2 linked regions of the Ovis aries genome follow. The protein of the gene in region 1 interacts with the protein of each later gene in a pairwise test. Links are inferred from orthologs where the notes say so. Each region holds a gene or a part of one and is shown in the gene's direction. Other genes may lie near its edges.

Region 1 (3,945 bases):
TTTGAATCACCAGTAATACTGAGTAAAATGAAAAGAAAAATCAAAGAATATACAAACTGAAGTACTAAACAGGAGGTTGCATTTATCTTTTCAGATTCCAGACTATTTGGCAATTGAGGTTTAAGATCTGAATGAGTGACTGGACCACAGAATCTGAAGGCTCCCTGCCAATCCTGACATCCTGTGATCTATAGAATGATGACAGTTAATTGGCCAGACTTTGAGTCTCTCTGTTTTCCACTGTGTGTTCTCAGTAAAAGGTAAAAAAGCACATAAATTCAAAATGCCACCAAAGGTAAAGAATTACAAGATAATAAAAGATACTACATAAAATTTAATGGCATTCAGTATCAAGGCAGGGTAACATGAAAAAAGATACTGGCTGATTTTGACATGAATTCTGAATACTTGTTTTGCTTAAAAAAAAAAAAGACTTATTCTGTGAAAATAATTTTATCTACTGCTTAAAAAAAAAAGTCCTAGTATTACCTTCGTGACTTATCAATATTTTAAGAACCACGGTTCAAAGCTGGTTGGGTAGGGGAAAGGAATATGGAATGTGAGCCCTACTAACTTTTCATCTGCTCCTTAGCAGAGTAATTTGCATATGAACATGTCTCACATTATGCATGTGTGTGTACTTAGTAGCTCAGTCGTGTCTGACTCTGTAACACCATGGACTGTAGCCCACCAGGCTCCTCCGTCCATGGGGATTCTCCAGGCAAGAATACTGGAGTGGGTTGCCATGCCCTCCTCCAGGAGATCTTCCCAACCTAGGGACTGAAACCAGGTCTCCCACTTTGTAGGCAGATTCTTTGCCTTCTGTGCCACCAGGAAAAACCATGAATGCTGGAGTGGGTAGCCTATCCCTTCTCTAGGGGATCTTCATTACAGTTGTTCCCAAACTTAGGAGAAACCATTACTGATCTCTGATGGGCTTATCTGGACACTAAGAACCACAGAAGACATTTATTAACTTATTATTATTTGGCCAAAGGGCCATCCATCTCCATAAAGAGTGAAAGATAATTCTAAATAATTCATGATTTTCTACAAGAACATTATGACACTAGGTTTTTTCCCCTAAAATTCTGTAAAGTCCTCCTTGTCATGAGGTGCTGCCTTTCCAGCTAAAGTCAGGCAGGTTTCTTGGCCTTGTTCTCCCTGCTAGCCTACTCCCACATGACCAACTTGTCATTGTCATAAACTCAGCTCTTTCAGGAAGCCTTCCATGCCCAATAGTCCTATCCATATTCTGCATTTGTTCTACAGATACTACTAATATCTCTTACATTCTGCCAGATTCTGTGGTATTTTTAACTCCCAATGTGTAGGTATATGTGTGTATGTCCTTTAAGAACACAGCTTGTATTTAACATTATTTATGTGCACCCCCAAAACTTTGCATGTTTTCCACACACAGTAGGCATTCAGCCAACATTCTAAATGTAAATGAATGTGAGCATGAGACCTTAGGATGATTAGAGCAATGAGTGCAGATATAGTCTTCCACCTGAAACAGACACATGGAAACAGAACCCCTCTCCAAATTCTTCAGACTGATATAATGCCTTTCTCTAAGTAACCGTGCAGGTCTTCTGACAAGACTTGAAATAAGGAGAGAGGATGAGGCAGACGACGTCGACTATCTTTTGGCTCATAAAAAAGTACACTTGGGAAGACCAAGCTAGGAAGACATGACCTCTCTACAGTGGAAACACACAGTGAAACAAAGAAAAACAACTGGCACTCTAGGCTTTCTACCTGATCTCCATTGCCTTGAAGGACCATGTTACCCCTGCCTTTGGGTCTGGAGCCCAGCATGGAGTGAGGCTGTGCCCTCAGGTCAGAGTGTGAAGCAGTATGGCATTTACCCTGCCTTTTCCTATAGAAAGAAGAAAGAAAGAAAAGAAAGAAAGAAAGAGAAGTGGCTCAGTTGTGTCTGACTCTTTGCAACCCCATGGGCTGTAGCCCACCAGGCTCCTCCATCTATGGGATTCTCCAGGCAAGAATACTGGAGTGGGTTGCCATTTCCTTCTGCAGGGGATCTTCCCAACCCAGGGATCGAACCCAGGTGTCCCATGTTATAGGCAGGTGCTTTACCGTCTGAGCCACCAGAGAAGTTCTTTCCTATAGAACTGATGTCAAATTGGTCTCCTCTAGGTTCACCTCACTGATCTGTTCAAAGCAATGACATTTCTAACCAGTCTCTCGCTTTAGAGAACTTCTGGATTTTCCACACAATTCTGCTCCCACATCCAACGGGTAAACACATTCTACTCAGGAAACACTACAATTATTCACTGTCTCCTACATTTTCACATTTCAGCAACAGCTCCTTCCTTGAGCCATTGAGAAAACCTCTAGCTGACTCTCCTGCCAAATTATATCTTTGATTTGTTGTGAGAAAACTCTTGCTTAAATCAATTAATAAAACAAATAAACATCACAAAGACCTGCTTCAAATCCTTTCCATTTCCTTTCTTTTCTCTTTTTTCCCCATCTTTTTTTGGAGTGGGGTTGGGGAGGGGAGGATTCTTGTTTATTGGTAATGCTTAAATTCCTTGGGTTCATATATGGCTGTTTATAAACTGGCTACAATGAATTTTTTCCAGCTTCACAGCCTGCCATTCAAATTCACGGACACTTTTCTCCTATTACATTTGATGTATCACATTTCTCTGGAAAGAACAGACCTTATTATGAATTGTTGCTTTTATGCATACAGTTCTTTTTGTCTAGAGTGACTCTCCCCACTTTTCACGTGGGAAATACTCATCCTTCAACATCCACCTGTCTCCTCTTTAGAGAGACATCCTCTGTTCCACTGAATCCCTCAGTATGCTGAACACGTCTGAAAGTACTGACCTCCAGAATTGTGATTTAGTCATTTCCCATCAGTCTACCCCTAGAATATGAGATCCTCAAGGAAAGGCACCATGTCTCATCCATCATTTTTTATACCAACCACTTAGCCTGATATTTGCTGTGTAGGAAACAAGTACTCATTGTTTGGGGGTTAAGTAAAAGTACAGAATACAATTCTTAAATGAACAGATTGCTAATATGTTGTTTAGGGAAAGCTGAAACAATCTTTTTCAGACTGTGGGTCAAATAGGCTTTGAAGGACTAGTCTTAGAACTAAATGGGCTGGAGTGACTGTTTCTATGGGAACAATAGGTATACGTTCCAAGCAGCACACATATGAATGGACTTTGGAACACAAATGCCCCTGCAGGGTTCCATGAAGCCAAGCAGCAGGCACCGAGGCTGGCAGACTACCCCCAGACCGGTGAGTGGCTGCATCTCCCGGGGAGGTGAATGCGCAAGACACTACGTCACCAGAAGCAGCCCAGCCATCCACGGAGACCAGCTCCAGTCAAGCCAGCTAGCTGCCCGATGCCCTCTGTCCATTCGGCCCTCCCGGGCCCAGGCCATGCTGCTCACAGTCTATTGCGTGCGGAGGGACCTCTCCGAGGCCACCTTCTCCCTGCAGGTCAGGCCCGACTTTGAGCTTCACAACTTCCGTGTGCTCTGTGAGCTGGAGTCTGGCATCCCCGCCGAGGAGACCCAAATCGTCTACATGGAGCGGCTCCTCGTCGAAGATCACTGCTCCCTGGGCTCCTTCGGCCTCAAGGACGGCGACATGGTCATTTTACTGCAGAAGGAGGCCGTACGGCCGTGCTCCCCCGAGCGGGTGGCTGGCCTCTGCCGCACGGAGCCAGCGGGGCCTGCCCTGCCTGGGACGTCCAGCTCCCGGCCGCATCAGCGTGCCCAGTCGGCCCAGCACTCCAGGCGCCACGGCTCTGGGGAGAAGGCAGGCCCGGGTCAAGGGCTGGACAGTCCGGCGCTGGTCCGGAGCATGCTGCTGTCCAGCCCGCATGACCTGTCCCTGCTGAAGGAGCGCAACCCTGCCCTGGCCGAAGCGCTGCTCAGTGGAAACCT
Region 2 (4,707 bases), on another chromosome or scaffold:
TGGAACCCCAGGGCTCGTAGCTAGACTCTTTGTTGCCTAAGAGAATACCCTAATTATCTGTGTAACCGAATAGAATCATAAATCCTATTATGCTTATTGGGGTATGACCACAGGCCTATTGATAATTGTCCAGTGTTAACTACCTAGGCTTAAGGCATATGAATCACGGGTTAACTTTGATTGGATCTTTCTTTTCCTTTGTTCAGACTAGTTTCAGGGAATTTGGGGAGGTGGGTTTGGGCACGTACACTTAGGGTATATAAAGTTTTCAGAAAAACTGGTCGGGGTCCTTGGCTAAGAGGAGACCCTGCCTTGGGCCCGCTGGTGTAATAAACTGCACTCCACTATCTGCATTGTCCTTCTGAGTGAGTTTGTTTTCCAGACCGCGTGGCTACAACACCAGGACTTGTCTTCTCCAGCCACAGAACCCCTCCCTAACCCAGGCCCTGGCAGCTGAGATGGCTCCAGCATCCTGGCCCTCCCCAGGACTTCTTGACATCCTGCCATCCCCACCACAGGGCCCCTTTGCCCAGTCGGGTGCCTCTTCTTTAAACTTTGTTCCTCCAGGGCCAGCATTAGGGGAGTGCCAGTTTTTGGCCTGCCTGTGTCATTGGTAAGTCACCCAGGGCCTCCAGGGCCTTCTTTCTGAGGCCACGTGCGTGCACCGAGGGGGAGGGGTGCTGGCGAGAAGGAAAGAGGGGTCAGGCCTCTTGGCCGCTCAAGTTCGACAGCCGCCCTCTTGTCCCCGCACCGGAGTTTTCCTGTAGGGTGTTGGAGCAGGGAGATGACCCCAGTCCCAAACCCTTCGGAGTCTGGGGTCCGGAGCGCTGGGGGTGGCACCAGAGCCCCCCGCTGGCTCCGGGAAGGCGGGAGTCGAGCGGGAGCTCAGCTCCCACCGCTGCGCTGCCGGAGGGGCTCGCGTCCGCCCCCTCGGGCTCGCGGCCACGCCGCAAATGCCCGGGAGTGTTTGACTCAGAGTCAGTTCCCCTTGGCGGGAAGGGTGCACACACGCCCCCAGACCCGCGCCAGCGCGGCGCACTCCTGTGCGGCCCGCGCGGCCCCGCACTCGGTGACTGCCAGTCCCCTCCTTCCGGGACCCCCAGTACCTCCGCCACACCTACGCCCAAGCCCCGCCCGGCCATCAAACTCCGGTCTGGAGGGCGGGCAGGCGCCGGCCGCGTCGCCCCCACCCCGCCCAGCCTTCACCTTGCCGGAATTGGCTCACGGACACGGGTTTGAGGGTTTGGAGCGGATTTATTTTTTTTCACATTTTTTCCAGCAGACCACATCCCCGCCCCCCGCTCGCGGTCCCCCGCCCCCTGCACATATACCCTACACACGCGCACACACACACACACACACACACACACCCGGCGCGCACAGACAGACACGCTCCCTCCCTCCGGCGCGCTCTACCACTCGCCCGCCCGCCGCGCACGCAGCCGGCCCCGGCTCCCCGCGCCCCGCGCCCCGCGCCCCGCCGCCGCCGAGCGAAGCCGGGCTGGGCTTGGAGCTGCTCATGGAGAAAGTGCCCGGCGAGATGGAGATTGAGCGCAGGGAGCGGAGCGAGGAGCTGTCCGAGGCGGAGAGGAAGGCGGTGCAGGCGACGTGGGCCCGGCTCTATGCCAACTGCGAGGACGTGGGGGTGGCCATCCTTGTGAGGTAGGTGTCGCCCCGGCCCGGCCGGGCCCGGAGGAGGGACGGCGGCAGCGGCTCCGGGCAGAGGCGGGCTCGGCCCGGGTCCGAGCTCGGGCGCCACCTTCCCAGCTGCGACTGGGGCCCGGGCCGGTCTGGGGATTGCGGGTAGCCTGGGGCGGTTTGGGGTGGGCGAAGCCCTGGCCGAGCCCTTCCTAGCTCTGGGCGAGGGGCTCACCAGGAACTAGGAACCAGACACAGAAGGGAGGCATCTCCATCCCCCTCCTCTCCCGGGCCTCAGAACTCCTGGTTCAGCCAGCCTTGCCTACCTCGCCGCGACCTCAGCCACCCGCAGCTGTTTTGGACACACGTTTTACGGCCTTTCCAATAGGGGTCATGGGGGCTCCCCATTCTAGAGACAAGAAAACTGAGGATCAGCCAAGGAGGACAAAGAGAAGCAAACCCCTCTCTCCAGCTCAGCCCCTTCCCCTGTGCAGAGACCTGAAAGGGCTTCGGAAAGGGCAAAAGAATAGAGGTCAGAAGAAGTGGACCCCAGAGGTCCCACTTTCCTAGCTGGTCCCTTCCTGCCCCTGGGGCCGGGCCAACAGGGAGCTCCCAGGCGAGGTGCAGGTGAGTGGAGAAGTGAACAGTCCCTGCGGATACAGGCCCTGCTGAGTTTGATGGAGGGAAAGGGAGAAGCTTCAGGAGACAGGGCCCCATCCTGAACCCCAGGTCTGGGGAGGAAAGGTCATGGGTCTTGGGCTCAGGGGTCATTCAGGAACCACATGCCCCCAAGGGATGCACACACAGAGTGACACTGTTATTCACACTCCTACACACCAGTCAGTGCACATGCATGCCATCCCCACAGAGTGCATAAGCTAGTACCTGACTCCAGCTCCAGATCACTGCTCTCTTCCCACACATGCTGGTCCCTGGGGGGTGCAGGCATGGAGGCCCCAGACCCACACTCACCCCCCAACTGTCTGTCCTTGGCAGAGGGAAGCTATCAAATCTAGGACAGATCGGGGCAGTCTTTTAGTTTAAAGATGGGGTGAAACCTCCCATTGGAAAGGACAGTTGAAGTGCATGCCTGTCTCCCAGGCTTGGCCCCATCTCTGGCTCCTCTTTTTCTCCCACACTCTCTCCCTTCTGCCTCCCCCAAGCCTGGGACCTACCCAGCTCCATAATGATGTGCCCTGATTCCAACTTAGTAACAGATTTTGGAGGAAAAAAAGAGCAAGCAGCACACTTGAGGAGTTCCAGGAGGGCGCCCAAGGAAGAGACAGCTATTTGGGCAGCTCCCAGGCTCAGAAACAGCCGGGGTGATGGGGAAGTAAGAGGGGATTTCAGGTTCCCAAGCCATCAGACATGGGAGGTGCATCTCGGCACTATCAAGCACCCACACGGTGGGTCGCAGGGTCAGAGATGCATCAGGCTGCATCCAGGTGGGGAGGGGGGGCAGCTTTTAGCACTGAGGCCTCAGGATGCACGCGGATACCCGCACAGGTCACCAGGAGGAAATGAGGCGAGGTTAACAGGACCATGGCTATTTTTTGTCCCCAAACCCTGCCATTTGCCAATAAGGACATGTAGAGGAGGGCACGGCCACCCACTCTGGTATTCTTGCCTGGAGAATCCCATGGACAGGAGCTTGGCGGGCTGCAGTCCATGCGATCGCAAAGAGTCAGACACGAATGAGCAACTAAGCCCAGCACAGAAGATGTGTGCACAGTTCCGCTCCTGGGATCCCACCCAACTTCCCCAGGAAAGGGGAGTGAGGAATTGCCGAGGAAGCAACTGAACCCCCGAGGTGTTTCTGGAGGGTCTGAGCTCTTGGCAAGGTTTTCTTTCTCTCTGTGTGCCCCTCTAGTTCCCTGGGGGGAGCTAGTTTCTCAGAGGGGACTGGGTTGGGCTGGGGAGGTGTTTACCAAGTGCCCAGGCCCACAAGTAACCCAAGAAGACCAAGATAGCAGTTAGATCTGGCTTGCTGATAACCCCCGGCTACACTGCACCTGACCCCACCTTGGTTGCCCAGAGCCCAGCCCGGCCTGGGAGAGAAGCTGGAGGAGCAGACCCTCCGTCCCACCAACCTCCCTTTTCTTTCACTCCTGCACCTGCTGTCTGCCCCAGGGTGGGCGGTGTTAGGGGGCAAGACTTATAAGCTTCCCAGGGCAGGCCCCTCCTCAGATCCTGCACCCCACCCCCCGCCCCCGTTTTGTCCTGACTACCTCCTGATGGGCCATCCACAGCTCAGGTGGAGCCCGAGACAGTAGCCCTGGGGCCAGTCTCACCCCCTGAGGAGGCAGCAGCCACAAGGAAGGGAGCAGAGGGGCCGCCCAGACCCCACACCTCCTCTCCCTGCTGGAAGAGATCAAGAGGGAGCACCCATGCTCCAGGGGGCTCCCCTCCCAGTTGTAACTGCCGCCTTCCCCCTCACACAGACAGGCCTATTTCAGGCTCTCTTGGAAGCCCAGATGCCTCTGGAAGCTGAGAAACTCCCCAAGGCTGGCCGCTGAGGCTTCTCCCAGCAGCAGCTCAGGCCAGGACTGAGAGGGTCAGGAGTAAACACAGGGGGCCCGGGAGAGGGATGAAGGAGCAGAGCTCAGACCCTTAGACTCTCATGGCTCAGAAAAGGGACAGGGCAGGACTGTCCTTCCTTGGGGCTGTAACGTGGCGCTGGGTGTTGTTGGGCAGCGGACCCACTGGGTCCCAGGCCACCATCCCCGGCAGAGCAGCCTCTGAGATAGACTGGGGACGTCATCAATGTGGGAGCTGCTCCTGCTCCTTCCTGGTCCTGCTACCCACTCCGCTGGGCAACCTTGGGCAGCAATTCCTCATTGAGGATATGGAGATAAAAACAGTGCCAACCTCAGAATGGTATCCCAAGGATTAATGAGATCGTATAGTAAGTGCTCAATAAATAGTCCCTGTTACCTCCTCGTCATAATACCCGCCTGGTTGTGGCATTAAAGGAAACCCCAACAAGTGGACATCCTCTGCGTGTTGTTAGAAATTAGTGTTCTTATTGCCGTGTAAGAGCTCCAAAGTCAGAGATTCCCCATTTAAAGC

The links. The genes of interacting proteins can lie anywhere in the genome.
Region 2: the proteins of DDI1 (region 1) and CYGB interact in binary tests that used the Homo sapiens proteins (3 or more experiments, as listed by UniProt). The two-hybrid records come from large-scale screens. The link is inferred for Ovis aries from reciprocal best matches to the Homo sapiens genes DDI1 and CYGB.

What each region holds. Positions count from the first base shown.
Region 1 is NC_056068.1:4,094,601-4,098,545, reverse strand, and holds part of DDI1 (protein DDI1 homolog 1), read left to right. Parts: 5' UTR 1-3,208; coding exon 3,209-3,945. UniProt on the Homo sapiens protein: Probable aspartic protease. Seems to act as a proteasomal shuttle which links the proteasome and replication fork proteins like RTF2. Required, with DDI2, for cellular survival following replication stress.
Region 2 is NC_056064.1:54,559,232-54,563,938, forward strand, and holds the start of CYGB (cytoglobin), read left to right. Parts: upstream 1-1,519; coding exon 1,520-1,662; intron 1,663-4,707. UniProt on the Homo sapiens protein: Probable multifunctional globin with a hexacoordinated heme iron required for the catalysis of various reactions depending on redox condition of the cell as well as oxygen availability.